Lonchura striata: one gene and its partners. The protein of the gene in region 3 interacts with the protein of the main gene of each other region in a biochemical or structural test. Links are inferred from orthologs where the notes say so. Each region holds a gene or a part of one and is shown on either strand. Other genes may lie near its edges. The genes, in order: ERBIN, ZFYVE9 and SMAD2.

Evidence for each region.
Region 1: the proteins of SMAD2 (region 3) and ERBIN form a complex in vitro, tested with the Homo sapiens proteins (2 studies listed by BioGRID). The link is inferred for Lonchura striata from reciprocal best matches to the Homo sapiens genes SMAD2 and ERBIN.
Region 2: the proteins of SMAD2 (region 3) and ZFYVE9 are reported together in a solved structure, tested with the Homo sapiens proteins (2 studies listed by BioGRID and IntAct, with this or other methods). The link is inferred for Lonchura striata from reciprocal best matches to the Homo sapiens genes SMAD2 and ZFYVE9.

What each region holds. Positions count from the first base shown.
Region 1 is NC_134642.1:27,979,413-27,986,569, forward strand, and holds the start of ERBIN (erbin), read right to left. Parts: upstream 3,084-7,157; 5' UTR 2,968-3,083; intron 2,771-2,967; exon of another isoform or gene 2,619-2,770; 5' UTR 2,538-2,618; intron 2,376-2,537; 5' UTR 2,122-2,375; intron 1-2,121. UniProt on the Homo sapiens protein: Acts as an adapter for the receptor ERBB2, in epithelia. By binding the unphosphorylated 'Tyr-1248' of receptor ERBB2, it may contribute to stabilize this unphosphorylated state.
Region 2 is NC_134611.1:9,886,193-9,894,192, forward strand, and holds the start of ZFYVE9 (zinc finger FYVE domain-containing protein 9), read right to left. Parts: upstream 3,050-8,000; 5' UTR 3,011-3,049; intron 1,761-3,010; exon of another isoform or gene 1,632-1,760; intron 942-1,631; exon of another isoform or gene 924-941; intron 1-923. UniProt on the Homo sapiens protein: Early endosomal protein that functions to recruit SMAD2/SMAD3 to intracellular membranes and to the TGF-beta receptor.
Region 3 is NC_134642.1:2,222,620-2,230,236, forward strand, and holds the start of SMAD2 (mothers against decapentaplegic homolog 2), read left to right. Parts: upstream 1-4,598; 5' UTR 4,599-4,726; intron 4,727-7,617. UniProt on the Homo sapiens protein: Receptor-regulated SMAD (R-SMAD) that is an intracellular signal transducer and transcriptional modulator activated by TGF-beta (transforming growth factor) and activin type 1 receptor kinases.

The DNA of each region.
Region 1 (7,157 bases), about 26 Mb from region 3:
AATTTGCTCCCGTCCCCTTCTATTTCTAGGACTTACTGTTACCATGTGAGGTATAATGTATTGTTACACATGTGCAAGGCTTTCCTTAGCTTTGATCTTCCAAGCATGGCTCTTAATGACTACGAGTAAAGACTCTCAACAAATTCCGCCAAGAACAAATCATAACACAGTTTTCTGAGACCACCGACTTAATATATTAAGAAACTGTCCTTTAGTATTTTCTCCACAGAGCCCCCTTATCCATTCTATATGAACATGATGTGCAAATTGATACCCTACAGAGCTTTATGCTTACACTAAGTATTATCAACTGTGCAGCTTATGCATAAGACAAATCTATTCATATTTTACTAATATAATTATCATCTTAATGATAATCGCATTCCATAGTATGCCATATACTGCAAATTCTATCTCTTTGATTGCAAGCATTCCTTCCTAAAATTACTGATGTTTACTCAAGCTTAATTTAATTCATGAATAAGAACCGGTCAGGTCAAAAGAACATTTCCCCAAGCCATCAACGCATAGCTATAAAAGTGCTGTTTCAAGCACATGAGCTACTATGTGTAAGGTTAAATAATTTTGTTCATAATAAGAATATCAATGTCAGACTGATTTTTAGTTGCGATCATTGACCTCAAGAAAGAACACATCCCTTCATGTTACTCCCAAATTATGTTAATGCCATAATGGCATTCAATGATATAAGCGTGAGCTGTAAGCAGAACTGAATCACACTTTCGTCATTAAAAAGGGCCTTATCCATAGCTACCATGGTGACAAAACACTAGCGTAAGAAGTTGTGCCTCCACTACAAGGAACCATTCTTCTACACAGCATTGAAAAATATCAAGTGCATCATGAGAGACACAAAAGGCCTGAAAAGAAACAAAATTGCCTTGATTATGAACATACTGGTTTACAACTAAATTTGTCATGCACTGCTACAACTCCTCACCCTCCCCTCAAGAATCTCAAGTCATTATTGGGACTGAAACACTGCTCTAGAAAGGGATGGTTCTTTGTAAAAGGATTACTCTATTCAGACTTTCTGCCAAGCATCAGCCACATAAGGAAAGCAAAGTTCACTGCCACTTATTTTGTCCAGATCTTTCTGATGCCTAAGAATAACCCTTACTGCTGCCTGGAAAGGTAAGTCTATAAATTGCAAGTCAAATAATTTATTAGTTATCAACCACTGAACCCACTTTAGACATTTATATGTTAACATTTTTTCTTACACTATACCAACCAGAAGGAGTTGGATTATTTTTTCTTAAAGCACTAAATTACTCACAATGTTAAAGAACGATACTCCTACCTATGTAGGAGTGTTAAAAATTTTGCACAGAAATTACTTTGTCCAAGACTCCCAAATACCAGTACATGTCACACATTGGCAAGACTGAAGCATACACATCCTATCTGACCAACATGTTGCTTCTGAGTTTGACAAACAGAAACAAACGTTCCAGAGCTACGGTTTCTACCTTGTTCTAAACATTCACAATATGAGAAACTCCTTGCCTCCACGAAAGAACTAACCTATAATTGTCGCTTTGATGCATGAAAAATAAACGTGCATCTAGTTAGTTGGTATAACAAGCACTAGAGGTACAAAATCTTACACTAAAACTTCGCATTTAATTTCCTCTTCAACAGCTTCAAAAATTAGTTCTTTCAAAAATTAGAAAGGTGAAAGTGGTCACCAAAATCAACAAGGCTACATTAACAGCTCCAATTGCATGCATTTTAAAGAAGTCAGACAACTAGCTATCTGCTTTGGTTTTGTTCTGTATTTTGTTTTAAATGAAGGTCCTTAAGATGAACTTTGCCAGGATCAAAATGCAGGATAGACCTCCACTGCACAAACTGAAAAATAAGCAGTCCAACTCGTCGATTTGAGAACAGAAAGGGTAAAGGGGAAGAAGACGGGTGACTGCAGCAATCGAAGGTGGAAAAACTGCGACATTTACGGATGACCAGGAGGGCGTATTTTTATAAAGAAACTCAACAGCAACCCTGAAGAAGTCCGGCCAGCCACTAACCGATATTCTAGAAAACAACTCAGACATAAGCACGAAGCATCAAGAGCTTTCGATTAAAAAGAAATATTACCTCCTTCATGACTTTCTCATTTCCCGATAACTTAATTGTACTCGCAGGGTTACCAAACGTTTTGCAAGGGAGGGAGCTGAAGAAGCAGTTACGCAGTCGAGCAGTTTCAGCTCAGTGCCTTCTCGGACCGAACAAAGAAACTTCTGTGTCCGATGAGATTAAAAACTTTCGGTCTCACACTCTTTCCCGGCCTCCATGAAACCAGCGCCTCGGTTCACACGTTCAGGCGAGACGGTGAGAAACACAATGAGCAGCTAACAGGGCAGGCCAAGGCGGAAAACAGAGACAAAATATAAAGGCCAAAAACAGGATATAAAACGAAGCCTGAACTCCTTGCTTTTTTCTCCACCCCCTTCCCAGAGGAAGGATTTTTCTGTTGTTTTTGTTGCTGCTGATCCCAAGCCTTCCCTATTTACCTTAGGTGTCGGGGCGCCGAAACCAGATCCAGGAGGCAGGAGTTTCTTCCGACCCCAAGTTAAATCCAATCGAGTTTCCTTCTTCACGGAGAAAGAGGGCAGAGAACGGGGAGAGGAGGAGAAGGAATATTAGCAGCTTTCGCCGAGGACGAGGGAGTTCGTGCGCACGGGGAGAGGGCTCCAGAGCAGCCGGGCTCCTCCCGCCCCGCCGGTCTCCCCGCGGCCGGCCCCACGTCGCGCCGGCCCCGCCCGGCGGCGACACCGCAGCGCCCCCACCGCCCGGCGCGGCCCGGCGCGGCCCGGCGCGGCCGCCGCCCCTCGCCGCCATGGGCGCCGCCGCTCGCCGCCGGCTGCGCGCCCGGGATCGCGCTGCCCGAGCGCGGCCGCCACCGCCGAGGGCTGAAGGGAAGCGGGATGGCGCCTGCCTCACCTGCCCGCCGCCGCCCGCGCTCCCCGCCTTCTCTCGCACACTTCCCCCTTCTCCCGCGGCTTCAGCCTCCCGCCCCCCTCCCCGGCCTCGGCAGCGGGGGGCCGGGGGAGGCGGCGGAGCTGTGGGAAGAGGGAATGAACGTCCCGGGCAGACACGCGGCGGGGGGAAGGGGAGGTGGCCGCGGGCGAAGCCGCCGCGCCGCTGCTGCTGCCGGCGCCGCGCAGCGCTGGCCAGACGGGGGAGGCACTGCCGCGGCACGGGGGGCGGGGCGGGCGCGGAGCCGGGCCGAGACCTGGCGGGGGCGGGAGCGGGAGCGGGACCGGGCGGGAGCGGGAGCGGCGGGCGCGCCCGCGCTGCTGTGGCGGGCGGGAGGAGGGACGGGCGGACCGCGCCGGGCTGGGGAAGGCCGTGAGGGACGGGCGCTGCGGCCAATGGGGCCCGCGGGGCGGGCTGCGCAGGAACGCGGCGGGGCGGGGGCGGGCGGCAGCGGCGCCGGGCGGGGGCTGCGTTTCGCCGCCGCGGAATGGCTCCACCCGCTGCTGCCCGGTGTGGGGCCTGTCCCAGTGTGGTTTTGCGGCAGAGCGTCAGTCGCACTGACAAATTCACACCTGAGTGACGGAAGTTTCCTCGTTAGCAGCTCAGCTCCGTAATTTAATGGTTGCACACCCTCTGCAGAAAGCGCTGAGGCGCCGGCTCACGCCATCAGGCGCTGGCCATTGCCCCTTCGTGGCCACCCGACCCCTGCCCCCGCACCTTGTGCTGCCTGACTCGCAGCTACCGAGATCTGAGAGAACGAACACACCCAAGGGAAACACTGACGGCCTCCACCCACGCTTTGGTGTTTGGGTATGGTACGTTAAACTTGGATACAAACAACAACAATTAAAATAATGCCGCCCATATTGTCACAATGTTTCACGTAAACCCTGGAACACTGCTGTACTTTTTCTTCCAAATATTTCAACACTGTCAGTACGTTACAACGGTACTGAAAATGCGTGTTGACTGACAAGAGTCATGTTTGAAAAGCAGGCAGTACACAGATCACACGGCTTTGGTATTGGTTGGGTTTGGATTGCAGTAGTACAGGTGTGATCTGAACAGAAGCAGTGAGTTTCTTTTTAATTTCCTGGATTGTTCGAAATGGGTATTTGATAACCTATTGTGTATGCAATATGCCATTTTAAGTGTCCTGGAGCCTGGAGTTCTGTTCAGCCATAACAGAGCACATGAAGCTGACAGCAGGGTGGAATTGTGCATGCTGCTCACCTTATGCTCCTTAATTGTGCTCAGCAGAGACCAAATCTGAGGAGAGGGGTAGTTTTGTTTTCACACTAATTTAATCCCTGGCTACTCTACTGGGACTGCCACCAACTAAGATGGAGTAGTGTTTTATGATGATAATCGGTTTACTGAGAAATTGGCAAAATGCTAAGAAGTGTTATATGAGCCATTGAACAGCAAGGGAAATGCTTTGTCATGTTACTATTGACCTGTCCCTGATTTTAACATAGGACTAGATGAGAAAAGTCCTTTACACCCCTACCAGTCCTTGACAGTAACTCAAATTGATACTTCCTGTTCAGGATCGTTCTTTGCTTCATCTATTTTCTTACAGGGTTTTGAATGAAGGGTTTAACCTTTAGCAACAAAACATAAAGATGATCACATTTTTATGAAAGTCCACTGTGTTTAAGACATTGTGTTCAACAATAGTTATTAATTTTAAACTTCTTGCCTATATATGGGAATTGTACGTTCAAGTATCCAGCTTGTATCCAGATCCAAAAAATAAGCATGCATTCCTACTATGATAATAATACTCACTTACCGTTTCTTTACTTTTCTCCACCTTCACAGAGCATACAGCCCTACTTTGGGGACTACATCTCTGCCTAAATTTAAATAATTAAACTAAATCAAATGTAGTCATCAGAGTTTATAAAAAAGAGAATTGTATGTGTATATATAGATATTTTCCAAAACATTAAATCGCTTCTATTTCTTCTTGTTCAGAAAAGCCATTTTCTTCAAATGAGTCAGCTTTGGACTAAGTCCAAGCAAGAGAACTTTACCCCCACTGACAACAGATTTAGAATTTCTCACTACAGTGCCCTGCAGTGGTACCCTACATTGTGTCTATAATAAAACTATTAATTTTTTAAATCTCTTGCAAATGATTGATCATTCCTGTCATGCACCACATAACATATCCTTACCATAATGTGACTAGCTCTCTGCAACTGATGCCCTCCATCATGAACTCTTCAAGGTACTTTCTTATGTGAATTATCACAACTTTTTAATGTGAAAATATTTTTTGGAAGTGTTTATTGCAAATTGCCCAGTGCATTTATTAATTCAGTAGAATAATAGATAGGTATGAGAATAGTAGCTGTTGCTCAGATGGTGAATCTCCCATAGGTGTTAACATTAGTTGCAATGTAAGATGCTGTTTCACTTACAGTTTTAGCCATCAAAATAAAAGCCTTTCCAAAGTCTGCTGAAACTACAGCTAGCTGGAGCACAGCTACTGAAGATATTTTGCATAGACAAGATATAACTATATGTACAAATTAAGAAAATACCAGGAGTTATCCTAGGGATCTAAATGTGCTATAAATATCAAAACAGAGTCCCCAGCAATATTAATTCCCACAGTTGGTATCCCAGTTACCAAATAATTACAGAGTAGGTGCACAAAGTTACAAAATGAGTCTTTCAAGTGAGACTCTGCATCTGATCCCACTGAACATTTAAACAACTCCTGTATACACACTTTCATGCTGGACATGAAGCCCAAACTCCTCTCATTTTAATTTCTATTTTTATATTTGAAAGGAGCACTAGTAAATACTGCAACAACTTGCAGCTAAATCAAAAGAACATTTGGTGAAACAGTCACCTGTATGTTTCTCTCTCAGGAGTTAAGTGGTCTGAACAATTACTACATAGTTTCTTCTGAGTGACAGGGTTTAATTGCTGCTTTCCCCTATTCTTACTACTGTTGTTCATTATGATTGCATGTTTCCACTTTTCTAGGAAATAGATTGAAAGGCCTCTGGGGTAAGCACTTCTGCTTATTAAATGCTCAGGTAATGACTTGAATGGTGGATTTCAAATCGATTTGAAGTGGAACTTCTGGGCATGACTGCAATACAAATATTAAATAATAATTAGTGGAAGTAATAACCACATTAAAGACACGAAGAGGCAATAAGTAATTCTTTTTCTTTAACAAGTATATATTGAAGTTTATTTTAAATATTCCATAATTTAAATTTGCCAAAATATCTTACTGTAGCATTTTCTGAATTTACGTGGTTCACAGCTGGATGACACCACATTTATGCTGGTGAAATTAACACAAAACTGGTATAATTCAGTGGCAATTAAGTCTTAGAAGTGTATTGCTATAACTTCTACATACATAATGCATTTTTACTATATTTAAAGAGAAGCTAAGTAAACAACTTCTGTTCAGTCTAACTTCACTACAATCCCAAATGTGCACTGGCTAAATACACCATACAAATAAGTTTTTTTCTGTATTTGGTTGCTTTGTTTCTCAAACAGTATAATCAAAGTGATGAATTATTATGCAAGTACCAATAGAAAACCTTGGTAACACCACAACCTATGTTTTTTATGCTGTGTTCTAGAAATTATTAGGAACATTTTAGAATTATTTTTAAGCATTATACTGTTACTTTTTGCTTGTTTTTATCTTCCTTGGTTAGCATGGGAGAGCTGGTGATTTCTGAGGAACATTTGGGACATAGAGGAGCATTTCATGTGAAGGAGCAAGGACAAAAAGGTGGTGTTAAGGTACTTCTACGCTTTCCTGATTTGGACTGCTTTGCTCCTGCCCAGTCTGTTAACACTGATTTTAAGCTATGCTGTAGCCTCTTAGCCTAAGGGTCTGTTTTGACAGCTGATGCCACCACATAAATCTTGTGCTGGTGAAAACAAAGAGAAAGGAATGAAAATGAAGCCATACTATGTGAGAACACTGGCATCTGTAGATCATAGCCAAAAATTCTTTGCTGACTAGTTTAAGACAAAGAGTTACAGATGAAGTTGGCAGAAAGAGCCAACTGCAAAGTTGCCTAAAATAAATCATGTTCTCAGTATGTTGCCTATGCACTGATGGTAGTTTTGGACTACCTTTGCTATGTTCTTGAATCCTA
Region 2 (8,000 bases), on a different chromosome or scaffold from region 3:
TTTAATCCCCAGCCTCGTAACTGACTCAAAGCTAACACACAAAAATAACACCCAATATCAGGAGTCAGCATGGCAGTTTTGGGGTGGGTTTCTTCCTTTCTCACACACTAAAGGAGGCACCATAAAGCAATGCAAATAAATCACAGTGTGTCAGAACATGGCAACTTGTTCAGGGCTGATCAGGGCTTCAATTAGAGGGGGAGGCTTGTTTGAAATTTTAGACCCTTCTTCAGCTTCCATTTCAGATTCCCCAAACTTCTGAAGAGATTTTTAAATTTGTCTCTCTTGGGTCAAGGAGACTGATCTTCTCATTTTGCATCACATGCCGTAACTTTATAAAAAGCACACAGAAGGTTCAAGCAGTAACAAAGGATTTGGATGTTTCAGCCACTGAAGGTGTATCTAAAATCTGAGTTTGTTCCATGCAATCAAAAATTATTTGCTAATAGAAGTTAATCACAATGTTTTAAAGCCTTGCCTAGTCAGTTAAATGCTGCCCAAAGAAAAGAAAGGCTTTTATTCAGGTAGACCATCTTTTTCATTATTACTATTTTATTTGTTTTTACACGGTTCCTTCCAGGTTTGAGTTCAGTCTGGACCCAAAAACTGAAGAGAGGGTTATTCAGAAATTCTAATCTGAGACACTTAATAGAAGATTGATGAAACTCAGTTAACTTTTAATATCTGAACGGAATGAAAATATGTGTAAAAATGCCACCCTCTGAAAAACCTCTGTCATAAAATAATAAGGAACATCCTGTCTATAAATAAAGAAGATCGTTTACAAGAAAACATAAAGTCTAACAATTTCTATCTGCTACTTGCTTCTCTATCTGGTTAAGAAGATAAAAACATTTATTGAGCCACACTCTGCCACAGGCACATATTTAGCCATAACATTTATGAGCAAGAAACTAGCCTACCTCTGCAAAAAGTCTGACATGCCAAGAGTGCCAGTTATTCTTAGAGTGAGACATGACCACAATTTCACGTAATTAGAGATGTTATAAAACGCATCCCGCCCGCTCTCCCCATCCCCCTCCACCACTACCACCATTGCAGGAGTGACTTGTTACACATCGCGATGAGCAAGTAACATTCCCTGCCCGGGGAGAGAGCGGAGATCAGGCCATAAAAAGGGCACGAGATGCAAACAGGGATCCTCCCCTGCCCGGGCCGGCAGCCGCGGCTGCCCGGGCACAACCTCGCCCTGCCCCGCGCCGGCACCCGAGGCGTCCCGGGGGGAGCAGCAGCTCCTTCCCCATCCCCGGGATCGCCGGCGCGGGGAGAAAGGTGCCCCGGGCGAGCGGGTCACCAAGTCCGGACGCCCGGGGACGGAGGGGGAACGGCGGGGAGAGGGCTCGAAGGACCACGGCGGCCGCCGGGGAGGGCTGGGGGGCGACCGCTGCCTTCCCCTTGGTGGCGTGCCGAGGACGAGGGTGGCGGGGCAGGGGGCGCCCGGAGCCGGCAGGCCCAGGGCGCTGTCGGCGATACGGCGGCTCCACCGATGCGCCGGAGCCCTCCCCGCCCGCCCGCCCGCGGGGCCTCGCTGCGGGCGGCGGGGGGCCTGGGGAGCGGGGTACCCCGGCCTTCCGGGCCCGCGGGAGACGCGCCGGACGCCGCTCACTCACCTCGAGAGGCAGCAGGCGCCGCCGGGTCTGCATGGCGAGGGGGATCTCCCGGGTCCGCCCGGGAGCGCTGGGGGCCGGCGCGCCCTCGCCGCCGCCAGCCGGGCTCGCTCGCTGCCTCCGCGGCCAAGGCCGCCGCAGCGCCCGGCAGCAGCGCCCCCTGCCCGGGCCCGGCGGCAGCGCACGGCACTGCGGCACCGCCGGGGAGGCGGCGCGCAGCGGCCGCGCCCCCGCCCCGCGCCGCGGGGTCCGCGCCCGCACCTCCGCACCGGGCCCGGGGTCCTCACCGGCACCCCCGCAGCGGCCGCACAGCGGGAGCAGCCGCCCGCTCTGTCCCCGCGGGGACTCGCCGAGGCCGCGGCTTCCGCAGCCACACAGCCACACACACGCACAGAGGCCGAGGCGGCACCGGGCACCCACCGCCGCTACCGGGCGCTGCCGGTGCCCTGCGGCCGAGGGACCGAGGGACGCGCCTCCGGGCAGCCGCTGCAATGTGTGTAGTGTGATCGCTCCACGAAACCTGGTCAGAAGAACTCGCAGCTGGGAGCCGAACATGTGTTATTTCGCCATTTCATGTTGAGTGTCTCCACAATCGGAGAGGGACACCATCCTGCGGGACGCCCTCGGCTGCCCCGAGAGGTGCGAGGCCCGGAGCCGTCCGCTGGCAGACACGTTCAGTCCTCAGCAAAGAGGCTTCCAGAAATTAAAAAATAAAAATAAAATAAAAATAAAATAAAATAAAATAAAAATATAAACACAACAAATTAAAAAAGAAAGAAAAAAAACAAAAACAACCAACCGCACAACAACCAACAACCCCGCTCGCTCCCCACAGGAGCCGCGATATAGCGAGCCGACAGTGCCAAAGCGTGACACTGCGCCCGGAGTCCCGCCCGTTCTCTCTCCAACAGGAGGCGGCCGCCCATGCCGGCAGCGGGACTCTTCGCTGCTGCGGGCGCTCGGAACTCCAGGAAATGTCACTCCCCGAGTGTGCCGCGGCCCGGCGGGCGCGGGGCGGGCGGCGAGCGGCCGGCGCCGGGCTGCGGGCCGGCTCCGGGCTGCGGAGCGGCGCCGGGCTGCGGAGCGGCTCCGGGCTGCGGAGCGGCTCCGGGCTGCGGGCCGGCTCCGGGCTGCGGAGCGGCGCCGGGCTGCGGAGCGGCACAACGCGCCCTCACCGCCGCCTCAGCCTCAGCCGGGCGAGCGAGCGCCCAGCGCCTCACGAACCCTCGCCCCTCGCCTCAGGAACCCCTCATCGCCCTCCTCAGGAAGCCCTCACCTCAGGAACACCCCACCCCTCGCCTCAGGAAACCATCACCTCGGTTCCCCCTCAGGAAAGGTTCGCTTGGTGCCAGGGGAATGGGAAGGAGTCGCTGTCCCCTCACCTTTGTGCAGGTCCGTGATCCCCCGGCTGCAGCAGTGCCATGTCAGCCCAGGAAGGAGGGAAAGGTGAGTGTGCTGGCTGCTAATGCAGTTGCAGGGCCATTCCCTCTTCTTCACACTTACAGGAAGCCCATCACTTTCCAGCAGGTTGGGCTTCTCCATAAACTTGCCACATATGTCAGTGAACTCAGTGTAATGAGCCCCGGTGATAAAAACTAGGCCTCCTTGCTCCAAGAGCATCAGCCCATCCTGCTTGAAATGAAAGGGAGGCACTTAATGTTTATTCATTGATTCTGGTGGAACTATGTGCTTTTCAAGCGAAAAATATGAGATACTCCCAATCAACTGAATCATCAATCCATGGGCAAATAGCTGAGGAGATAAAAAATGCTCATCCATCATAGCTGGAAGTAGCATGTTAATGGAGATGGAATTTATTTACTCCCATAAAGCATTCCTGGTTAACCCCAACTTGCTATCTCTTTAGCAATTAGTGTTGTCATGCTTGTGAAGCACAGATGAGGGGTTCAGATTGGTGCAATACACCATTACTGTCCTCAAAATGGTTCTCATGAAGCACCTCAGACTGATAAACATACAATATGCCTGACAAAAAAAGGGAAATTAATTAAAGAGTGAGTGGCATAACACTCCATAACCTCTGGCCAAATGCATGCAAGTGCATAGCTTTGCCATCTGTGATCTACCTCACGGAGGCATATTGCTACCATAATTTTTTTCTGCTTTTATTCCTCTGGATACAGCCATTTACTGGGATATCTTCTCACCAAAAACAGAGAGGTTTTTCCTGAAGGGTATCATAACTGGCTGTTTTGCAAGAAGGCAAAGCATGAAAGCATGCAAAACAGGAGTTAGGAGCAATGGGAATAATTTCTGTGAGTTAAGGTGATGGTCTCATTCCCCATTCCCCCTGGGTAGCTTGGATGCCTCATGACTTGTTCCTAATGAAGATGTATCTAGAGAAGCAGCAAACTCCACAAACTCCAGGAGCTGCTCCAGGCAGTTGTGGTGCCAGACACCTGAGCTTAGAGCAGGGAAATTGCCCATCCTGTGTTCTCAATGTGCTCCCTCTGCTAGAAGAAGAAACATTTCAATATTGATAGTGAGAAACACTGTGAACAAACCAAAGGAATAATTTTAATCCCAAGCCACAGCAAGGCTGTAAGACCATGGACCATGACCTTTCACTTGGCACAAGAGTCCGAGTTACAAACTCTCCAAAATGGATCTGCAGCTCTTCCATGTCTGTGGGCCTCCACAGCACTGTCATAAGAAATGGTGCCTGATACTATCCCACGGGACACCTTACTATTGAGCTTGCCACCTCTTTTCCCAAGTATTTTTCCCAGCTCTTTATGAGAAAGGCATAAAGGAGAGAAGAGGATACTCCAATTTGCAAAAGGCAGGGGATGGGAAAGGGGGAAAGAGGTCCACACTTAGAAAGGTGAAGGGAACCTCTGAGGTGCCCTGGTTGCAGGGAGTAGCACAGAGTTACAGGGTCAATACAAAGATGTATGTAACAATGTGTGTACTCTGGGATCTAGGAGTTCCAGGGAATTCAAAATTATGCCAGAGTAATCTTTGAACTGCAGAGTTAAGGACAAATAAGAGGATTTTTAAACTATGTGGTAAAACTTGCAGAAACCTGGAGAAAAGGAAGTTTCATACTGTCTTCACTCTGTTCCTAGGCAGAAATAGTGGAACAGTTAACAACAGTGTAGGAAAGGCAGAAGAACTCAATAACTATTCCTGGTCTGTTTTTTGGGGAAGAGCCATATGATACACAAATATCATATGATGATGAAATACATTCCATTACAACAAGCACTGAGGAGGATGTTAAACAGAAGCTAATGAAGTTGGCTATCAGCAGGTCCAGGTAACTTGCATCCAACAGTTTTAAAAGCACTGGCACAGAGTATCTTTAGACCATTAATGTTGATTTTCAATAAATCTTGGAACACTGTTAAAGTTCCAGAGGACTGGATGAAATATTGTACCAATATTTTTAAAGGGTAAACAAGGTGACCAAGGTAATTACAACCTGCCAGACTGACAAGAATTCTGGGTAATAAAATGGGACATTATCTACATTACTTGATTGAAAAAGAATTAAAGAGTGGAAACACAATAACTACAAATTAATGTGGAAAATAAATCTTGTGAAAATAATTTTATTTTTTAAATGGCATTACAAGTTTGGTTGATGAAGGTAAGTAGGTCTGCAAAATCTTTGTTCTGGTAACTTGCAGCATTTTAATTAAGAAGCCAAAATGCTACCGACTCATCACAGCACTTATTGAACTGTTGAGACTCTAACTAACTGACAGTTACAAAATGGGAAAATAAAAAGCCATCATCAAAGAATGTGTTTCTGCATCCTATGGCAATTAGTTCTACACTGCATTGTATTGATATTAATAGTTTTAAGAAAAACATAAAATCATCACTTAAAGAGTTTGCAAGTGTTGTAAGCAATAGGGATTAATAAATAACAAGTCATGCTGCAAAGTAGCTGAGACAGCTTGATAGCAAGTAATGTGCATTTCTGTACAGCCAAATGTAAAAACATGCATCAAGGAATAGAGGGAGTGATTTTAGGATGAGAGAATTTGTGCTTTTATAAGTTAATGCTCAAAAACCTCAAGAATCATCACATATAATCAGGAGAAAATAAGCAGGTGGTGTGATGCTGTAGCCAAGAGGATAATGCAATCCTTGGGCTTATAAACAGGAGAATATAGAAAGATATCTCTATTTATTTTTCTGGTACTAATCCAACTGCTCCTGATACCTAAACTCCTTAATTCCTTAATAGAAGCTGAAAAAGAGATGGTTCAGAGAAGATCAATAAGAATGATTTAGACTGAAAATGAAAAGGTTCAACCTATTTCAGTGTCAATAAAGAAGATATAGGGGTGACTCAATCACACATTTTAAGGACCTTCAAGATTCAGTGAGTGTATGCAGATGTATTCATCTTCCTGTGAGGTCTTCTACCAGGGAAGGTAATTAATAACCAGGACAGTTTAGGATGGGACAAGCTGGATTTCCCAGCACTGGGAATGTCAAAATCAGGAGGTTGTAAAAACTTAATTTTAACAGAAGCAGGAGTTCAGTCCTGTAAGTCTGCTCCCCGGGAGGTAGAACTCTGTGTCTATAGCTGTGAATTCTGGCTGCTTGTCTATGCAGAAGTTGATTTCCTAGGGCACTAAGAAGTAACAACCTGTCATCCCTTTCAGCATCATCTGACACAGCTCATGTGCTGTTCAGCACATGATGGGAGCAGCCGTGGGGAAGGCAGTGTTTACAATGGTTGAAGAGAAGGGTGGACTTGTTCACAGAAGGCAAAGCCTTTGTAGCATATTGCATACCAAGATAACTTTTCTCACTCAGGAAGCCTGAGACATGCATTGCTGGAAGCTGGGAGGATACTCCTGATATGTGTGCCTATATGATTTTCCTGCTACTAAACTCTTCCTCTAGCATCTGCTTCTGGCCACTGTCACAGACAGCACATTGATCTTGTGCAAAGCAGTCTCTCAGGTCCACCCAAAGCTGACCCACACCTGATCTCTGAAAAGTGCAGTGGGAAATTTAGTGTGAGCAGAGAATAGGTGCTTGAAACATGCATTGCACAGGAGAGGGCAAGAACCAGTAGAGAGAACAAGAATTCTTGATATTAGAAGGTCAAAGGCTGACTTGGGTAGGGGATTGCACGTAAGGCTCTGATGTATCCAAACTCTGTTATTGAAACATTCCGAAATCTCAGTCTGATCTGGTACCGTCAAAAAACTAGAAAACTTTGCAGCAAAATGTTAATTACTTTCCCAACATAGTTCCTGATAAAAGTGCTCAGCCTTCTACTGATATGCAAAATCTCGAGTAGGAAAGGGCTGTGCTGTGAGCCTAAGAGTCCAAACCTCTTGAGTGACTGAAGCTTTTATTCACAGTTCCATGGAAGAAAATGTTGGCTTTTTTTCTGCGCAGTTGCTAATAACTGCTTGCCTGCCACACTTTGACAGAAACAATACTCTAAGTATTCATTCCTAACGCCGTTCGTAGTGAAGGGCTTAGTGATCATTTAATCAGTTTTTGTTGTAAAATAAACGCCCTCGCTGATAACATCCTTAGAAAGAGGCGAGCAGACGGCGCTGCCGACTGCAGTGCTGTGGCTTTGCCCTCTAGTGGCTGAGAGACTGGCCCAGCTCCGGTGGTTTCTGTCTCAATACGTTTTGATTACCTCATCAGTCTTGAATCTTTGATTTTTCTAAATTCTGTGCAGTCTTCATCCATTAAACTCAAGTACTACCTGCACTAGAACAATGTAAATCAATAAAATCCTTGGCTTAAGATTCTCAGAATCCTATATTAAGGTTAGCTCAGTATTAGTGAGTCATACGATAAAGCCACTAATACATGGGCACTTAATTAATCTATGATGCATTTTCCACCAGATAGGTCTTAATCTCTTGGAAGGAAAAAGGCCTGCTAGGTCACCATCTCATTGTGTGAGTCAGTTTAGAGTCATTCCATGCTGAATACCTATTCTTATTTTGTCAAGTTTAAATTTTAAATGTGCCATGTATCCTTAGGAGTTAAAAAAAAAAAAAAAAAAAAAAAAAAAAAAAAAGGAAAAAGAAAAAAAGGAAAAAATATTACAATCCTTTTCAACAGTAAACTCAATAGGTTATGCATTTGAAAGGGTTAAAACTTCTTTACTGTCTGTGCTGGCTAAATCTTGAACATCCATAGCTTTTCTGTCCATACGCCAAACACTGGCCTGGAGGCTCTAAGAGATCTGTCTGTATCTGTTTTAAACCTCTATGGGAGCTTGAGAAAGGGCTTTGGACTTAAAGGACATCTCAATTTTTTGTCTTTCCCTCTGGCACCCATTTTAGATTATTACAACAAACTTCATAAGGAAATAGCACTTATTCAATTAAATTGTCGTCCTCTCCCCTTCCCTTT
Region 3 (7,617 bases):
TTCAGATCCCCTCATGAGGAAGCTGCAGACCAGGGTGAGGATTACCCCAGTCATACATTTTTATCTGCCTTGAACTGATCTTTCTGTATCATAACTCAGCTCAAAGTTCTTCAATTTTTTTTTTCAGTTTAACACATCATTTTGACATGTTGGTAATAATGACCTCAACATAAAAACTATCTACTCTGCCTCCAAGACCTTTCTTGATGGCATTGCACTTTGCACTTGTTTCTACCTCTGCTACTGTTGGGCCATTCAAAAATCCCAGGTGTCTTTGAAGTTACCTGATATTGATGTTGTAGTTCCTTTGGTCACAGGCTTTGGGATGTCACCATGTATGCACTATAGCACAGCACTGCCAGCTACTGCTTCATCATGTTTTTTCAGGTCCTAGGTTTAATTCATACAATCACAGAATGGTTTGGGTTTGAAGGGACCTTGCAGATCATCTTATTCCACAGGCAGGACACCTTCCACTAGACCAAGCTGCTCAACCTCCTTTGTTCCTTTTAGCAGACAGATGACAGATACCATGGAGCTGTTGTCCCTGCACATGAAGATCCTTTGAGAGGATGTTGAAACTCTCACACACATTCAGAGAGACCCTAAGAGAGATGCTCATGTTCTTGCACTGCAGCCTCAAGTCCAAATGGGACTGACAGCCTTTTGTCCAAAATGTGCTGAGCTACCTGGTTTGAGAAATGTGTGGACCTGGAGTGAGTCCAGAGGATGCTACGGAGAAGCTCCCAGGGCTGAAGCCCCTCTGCTCTGGACCAAGCCTGGGAGAGCTGGGGATGCTCACCTGGAGAAGGGAAGGCTCCAGGGAGACCTCACTGAGGGCTTATAAAAAGACAGAGAGCAACTTTTTACACAGAAGACAGTGAAAGGGCAAGTGGAAATGGTTTTAAACTACAAAATGGAAAGACTTAAGAAAGATTTTAGGAAGAAATTCTTGCCTTCAGGGTGAGATCCTGGCACAGGTTGCCCAGAGAAGCTGTGACTACCCCTGGATCCCTGGGAGTATCCAAGGCCAGGCTGGACAGGGCTTGGAGGAACCTGGGATAGTGGAAAGTGTCCCTACCCATGACAGGGGAGTGGAATGAGATGAACTTCCAGCCTTCCAGTCTTCCAGCCTTCCAACCGAAACCACTCTAGAATTCTGTGATTAATTAATAAGACATAACAATATCCAGCTTTGGTGTCAGTGATGGAGTTTTGCTATTTGTTTTACTAAATCAAGTATTATTTCATGGAATTATAAAATAGTTTGGGTTTGGATTTGGATGAGACTTTTAAAGGTCGTCCAGTCTAACTCCCCTGCCAAAGACAGGGATATCTTCAATGAGATCAGGTGTCTGAAACCCCTGTCAAACCTGACCTTGAGTGTTCCCAGGGATGCAGCATCCACCAGCTCTCTGGCCAATCTGTGCCAGTGTTTCATCACCCTCATCAAAAAAAACCCAATCTTTCTAATTCCCAATCTAAATCAATGCTCTTCCTGGAGGTGTAGGCATACAGCTAGGAGCTCTTTCTAGAGCATACGCACATCCTGCCTGCCTGCCTTCTCCACAGCCACCCTGCTTCTGAAGCAACTTCTGGGCTCTGGGATTTAAAGCCGTGATGCTGCCTTCTTCCATTGGCTGTCTTCCTGCTGCTGCTTGCAATTTTATTTCCTAGAGAAAGGTTTATGCAAATGTTGGATTTTTGTGTGTGTGTGTATGTCAGAATCCCCCAGCATAAGCTGGCCAACCTTTTGACTGATTTCAACCACACCTGAAAGAGAAGTAGAGCTTCTGGAAACACAAAGCCTGTCAAGCTTCATGGCAAACAGCAGCTATATTAGAGAAGACACATGTTGTTAAGTGCTCTGCTGGGGAGAAAGGCAGGGAGAGCTCAGCCCTTATCAGCACTGCTTGGCTTCCTTGGCAGTAGATAAGGGGCAGGCAGCTGGCCAGCCAGAGCACACACATCCCTGAACCAGGTACAGCATGTGCTGCTCCAGAAAGAAGGCAAACACCAATAAGTTGTGTAGTAGGGAGGCTTGGATGTATCAGGAATCAACCTTGGAGATAGGAGGAGAGAGAGCTATGAATCTGTTGCAGAGGAGAGGTGAAGGGAATGTCTGACGCAAATCCATATGAAAATTGAGCTTAATTAAATTACTCTTCATAAAAAAAAAAAATCTCTCTGAATGCAGCAAAACCTCCACAAAGCAAGTGCAATGCTAGCTGAATAGTCTGTATATGTTTCCAGGCACAACATTACTGGGACACCTTATCTTCCAAAAACATGATGGCAAGCTCTCAGATGCTCTGCTTTCTCTGCAGAGGGGATCTTCTCCACTTCACTGTTGATTTCATGACCAGCTTGAATCTCAAACGTTTGGGGCTGGCTGAAAATGCTACCAAAAAAATAAGCCACGTTTGCTTCAAGCTGGGAGAATCCAGGCACAGAAGAGGCAAGAGGGGGATTTCTGTGAATCCACATTCTGTAGAAGGGCTAAATATTCTGAGGTGATTCACCTTGCTCCTGGGAATACCAGCCTTGTGGAGATGGGACCTGTGCCCTAGACACAGAATCATAACACCTACACCACTGAGTGCAGAAACCTTTTCAGTCTAGAAGATGAGCATGACTCTGGAGAGACAAAGTTAGGGAGATGTGACCTCAGGTGTAAAGGAAGTGGCTTGAAGTGAAGATAGATGATATATACTAAAGTATCAAAAAGACAAAAGCAAAAAAAACAGAGTACCTCCAACAGACTTATAGCAAATCTGGAACAGACCTTCTCATCCCCAAAAAACCCCATTAAAATCCCACCTTGTGGCTTCCCACTCATAAAATCATACAATGTTAAGGGGTTGGAAGTAACCTTAGTGTTCTTCTAGTCGTGACCCCCACTGCCATGTGTAGGAACACCTTCCACTAGACAGGTTGCCCCAAGCCCCGTCCAACCTGGCTTTGAGCACTTCCAGGGTTGGAGAATCCATTACCTCCTTGGACAACATGTCCCAGTGTCCCTCCACCCTCATAGCAAAGAATTTCTTTCTAAGATCTAGCCTAAAGATCCCCTCTTTTAATTTCTACCCATTCCCCCTTGTCCTGTCATTGCAGTTCCTGACAGAGAGTTCTTCTCTGTCTTCCTGGTGGGCCCTTTAGGATACTGGAAGGTTCTGTGAGGTCTCCACAAACTTGTCTTTCCCAGGATGAACAGCTCCAGGGAATCTGCTGGGCATCACTGCAAGGCACAACAGAGCCCCATGGGTTTCACAGACAGGTCCCCAAACATGCACTGCCAGGTAACAGGCTCTGATTTCCTTATGGTGACCCTGGGCCCCTGCTGGGGCACAGGAATTTGGTTACTTTTCACCATTACCTCAACACAAGTGGTCCAAGCATTGCAAAGACTCTTGAAGGCAGTAGCTAAAAAAACCCCCCTAACATATGGGGGGGGTTAAGAGTTTGTGAGCTTGGGGGGCAGGCAGCAGAGGGAGGCTGGGCAGGCTTTGGGGCTGCCTTGTGTCCGTGTCACACCTGGGGACAGCCACCCTGGAGCTCTTGTGCCATTGCGGGGCTGTGGGCAGTTGGAATCTATTTAGAACCACAAAATCGTTTAGGCTGGAGAAGCCCACCAAGACCTGAGTCCAGCTGTGACACCAGCACTGCCATGGCCACTGCTGATCCCTGTCCCCAAGTGCCACATCCAATGGCTTTTAAATCCCTGCAGGGATGGGGACTCCATCATTGCCTTGGGCAGGTGTGCCAGGGCAGCACAGCCCTTTCCATGAAGGAATTTTCCCAATATCCAACCTCAACTTCACCTGAGCCATTCCCTCTCCTCCTGTCCCTGTTCCTGGAGCAGAGCTGTCCCCATGGCTGTCCCCTCCTGTCAGGAGCTGTGCAGAGCCACAAGGTCCCCCTGAGCCTCCTTTTCTCCAGGCTCAGCCCCTTCCCAGCTCCCTCAGCCGCTCCTGGGGCTCAGTCCCTTCCCAGCTCCGTTCCCTGCCCTGGACACGCTGCAGCCCCTCAGTGTCTCTCTTGTCCTGAGGGGCCAGAGCTGTCCCCAGCACTGGAGGTGTCTCAGCAGTGCCAGCACAGGGACGGGCACTGCCCTGGGGCTGTGTCACACCCTGGCTGGGACAGCCCAGGGGTCACTGCCCACCGCTGCAGAGCCCAGCCGGAGCTCAGCGGCAATTCCCGCCGGGAATCCACGCACTCTTTCTCAGCTCCCGTCGCGCCCGCCGCGGAAGGATACGGAGCGGGGACAGAGCCGCACTGCGGCTGCGCTGCTGCGGCTCAGCCAAACCTCCGCTCAGCCTCCCGCGGCGGGCGCGCGCGCCGTGACTGACAGCCGACCCAACCAATCAGCGCTGCGGCCACGGCCCGCCTCCCTCCGCCTCACGCCTGTTTCTCCCACTCCCCTTCCCTTGTCTTATTTTTTTTTTAACGTTGCGGGCACTCCATTGGCGATCCTGACTGCCAGTTAGATCTCTGGACCAATCACAGTGCGGCTGCTTAGAGAGAAGGTAAATGCGGCCAATGGGCGGCCTCCCCGCCCAGCGGCGGGGGCGGGGCGTTGCGGGGGGCGGGCCCTCAGAGGAGGTAACGCTGAGGGAAGAGGCGGCGGCCGCACCGCACTCGGGGAGACGGAGGAGGATAAGGAAGGGGAGAGGAGGAAGAAGGAGGGCAAGGAGCGGTGGCTCTCGGCGGATCCTGGTGGCTCCCGGTGCGTGCTGGTGGATGCCGGGCCCGGGGTCCTTGCCCCCTGGGCAGGGTCGCCCCGCTGGCGCTGCGCGGGCCGTGAGGAACCGTCCGGGCCTGGTCCCGGCGGGGCCGGGGGCGCCTCCCTACGCCCTCGCCCTTTTTGTTGTGGTGGGACCCGGGCTAGGTTATCCTGCTCCCGCCGGCATTGCCCCCGAGCTGTGCTGGGAGGGCCGCGCTGTGTGTGTGTGTCTGTGTGTGTGTGTGGGTGAGGGGAGGGAGGAATAAAGAAGTTGTGCTCCTTCTCTCCCCCGCTGCCTCCCGTCGTGCCCGGTGTGTTTTCCTTGCAGGGGTCCGCCGAATATGCCGAGCTGGAAGGCATCCCGCGAGGATCATCGCGTCCAGCTCGTAGCGCTGCACAGGACACCCCTGTGTGCCTCCTGGACATGCAGGCAGGGTTAGGTGTGCGGCACTCCCTGGAGTTTTGGAGAAGAAAGTTGGGAGCGGTGTGGGGCGAGGAGTTGTGTTTTGGAGCTAGGAGTTTGTGTTTGGGACTGCGAGGCTTCACCTCACCCTTTTGTCTGTCCCCTCTCCTCGTCTGCAGAGCCGCGGGTGTAAGAGACACACAGCAGCCCACGTGAGACAGGACTTGAGATCACTGGTTTTATTCCTGCCTTTAAAGCTGTGTGTTGTCAGAGGGCAGAGGCAGGTGGGGTTCTGGGGAGAAATTCCTGAGAGGGCAGCGAGGTGCTGACACAGGTTCCCAGAGGAGCTGTGGCAACTCCATCCCTGGGTGTTGTTTGTAAACACACACAACCTGGTAATGTCTCATCTCTCGATAAGTGCACTGAGGAAGCTGTGTCGTGATAAGGGCAAGTGGTTGGTGTTGTTGCTGCAGAGTTGTGGAGTTCCTGTTTGTAGGGGTTTTTTCTTTTTTTTTTTTTTTTTCGTTTTGTGCAGAGTGGAGGGGAAGAGAAGTGCAATACAGCATGGTCTTCTAGTGTTCACTCTGGGGAAATAAAAGAACGGAAAAAAGCGTGTGAATGAATGAAGAGCTCTTGTGATGATTGTGGAGAGCTGTTGAGCAGCTGGGATTCAGGCTGCAGGCTGGTCTTGTGTCTCTCTGGTTGTCCGTCACAGTTTCTGACTGAGAGAAACCCAACACGTGTATTATGCTCTTTGCAAATGCTTGCGAGCGGGATAGCATTAGGAAAGAGTTTATTTACAGGGTTTGCCAAAATGAGTGTCTCCAAAAACCTTTGTGTATTGTGTGTGGAGCTCATGCTCTCACAGTCCAGGGGTATAAACGGGTTAGATTCCATCAGCAGCGAGAGGTTTATAATAGCAGCTTGTTAGGAGACCGCAGGTAGCAGCAGGTTTGTCTTTTCTCAAGTGTTGTGTCTTAGCCTGGAGAGCTGTACTTTCAAACTGATTCATGACATTACTTCTGTGGGGCCTGGCCTCTGCAGCGAGGCACTGATTAGCTGTTGCTCTGTTCTCCAGGCTGGAAAAGAAACACCCTCTGCTTGAGGTGAGAGGCCAGCAGAGCGAGGTTGCTTGTTTAGATTTTCTCATGCTTTGTCGAGGTGTTGGTGCGTGAGTGGGTTGTTTGTGTGCTCGTTCTGAGGCACAGCTTTCAAACTTCTAACGTTTACAAGCTCTGGCGAATTCGGGGGGGATGAGAGTGTGAGTAAAGGAGGTGTTTGTGAAGTCCCTTCCCCCCTTTGCTTAGCACTGTCATGATGAAAGATAACATTAGTTACAAATGCTTTTAAGAAGTGGAAGGGGAGGGTCTTGTTTAAGGTGGTTTCCACTTTAAGATGAGTCTGAGCATCTGTTGAACAGCATATTGGGGTGTTGAAAAGAGTAGCCTGGCAGCTGATTGTTGTTCTGCAGTTGTATGGGTCAGATACACAGTCAACAAAAGGAGTATGTTTGAAGATCCAGTTTTCTTTACTGAAGAGGCTGGATATGCATGATAGAGCCTTGGAGAAGAATTCATCAGCTATCCTGAGGTTCTGTTTAACAGTGAAAGGAAGAAAACAACTCAGACAATTGAAAAAATGAGGTTAAAGAATTGGTCTCTGTGCTGTTTTCTTGTTTCCTTCCACCCAGCAGCTAGATTCACCAAAATCAAATACCCTGGAATTACACAGTGAATCTCCAAATGAAAGGTTCTCCCTGGGTCCTCCTCCCTCTTCCCGTTCCACTTGATCTTTCAGAAGTCTTGAGCACCAGTTGATACAATTGAGTTTATTTGAGCTCAAAAAACCCTGCCTGCTACTGAGGGCAACTTTAAAAAACAAACCTTGTTTCCATCTCTCTAATCCCTTTCCCACAAAAGTACTGGGAGAACAGGCTTTGTGGTATGTTCTGGGTGACAATGAATCTGAGCTCTCTTGAGGCTGAAGCAAATTCCTAAGTTTTGTTTGTATAAAGAACAGTACGCAAAGTTTTAATTATTATAAAAAGTATTCCACAGTTTTCAAATGTATTCAGTGCTGCCTTAATGGTTGTGCATGTAAATGTCCTGTAATTGAAAGCATCCATTTATGGGCCTGACTTGCTAAGTGAGCTGTAAATTCTGCTTTTCAGATTGGATTTAATGACTTTTATCATAAAGCCATAAACTGGTTGTGAACTGTGCCGAGAGGCAAACAATACCTAAGCTTACTTTGCCAAAATATTTGTAATTGTTGATTTGTTAAAATGAATTGCTGCAGGTCATGCGATGGGATTAGGTTTTTGTAATAGAATGGAGAGTACAGGCAGCCTGTGCTCAATACTCTCTGGGCTAGAAGAAATTGGCTACTGCAGAAAACCTTCCTAAACATTCCTCTCCATTTCCAGTGACAGAAACTCCGTTGCAAACTGTAAGCCTTCATTCCAGATCACATTTTACTCTGATTATGTGTT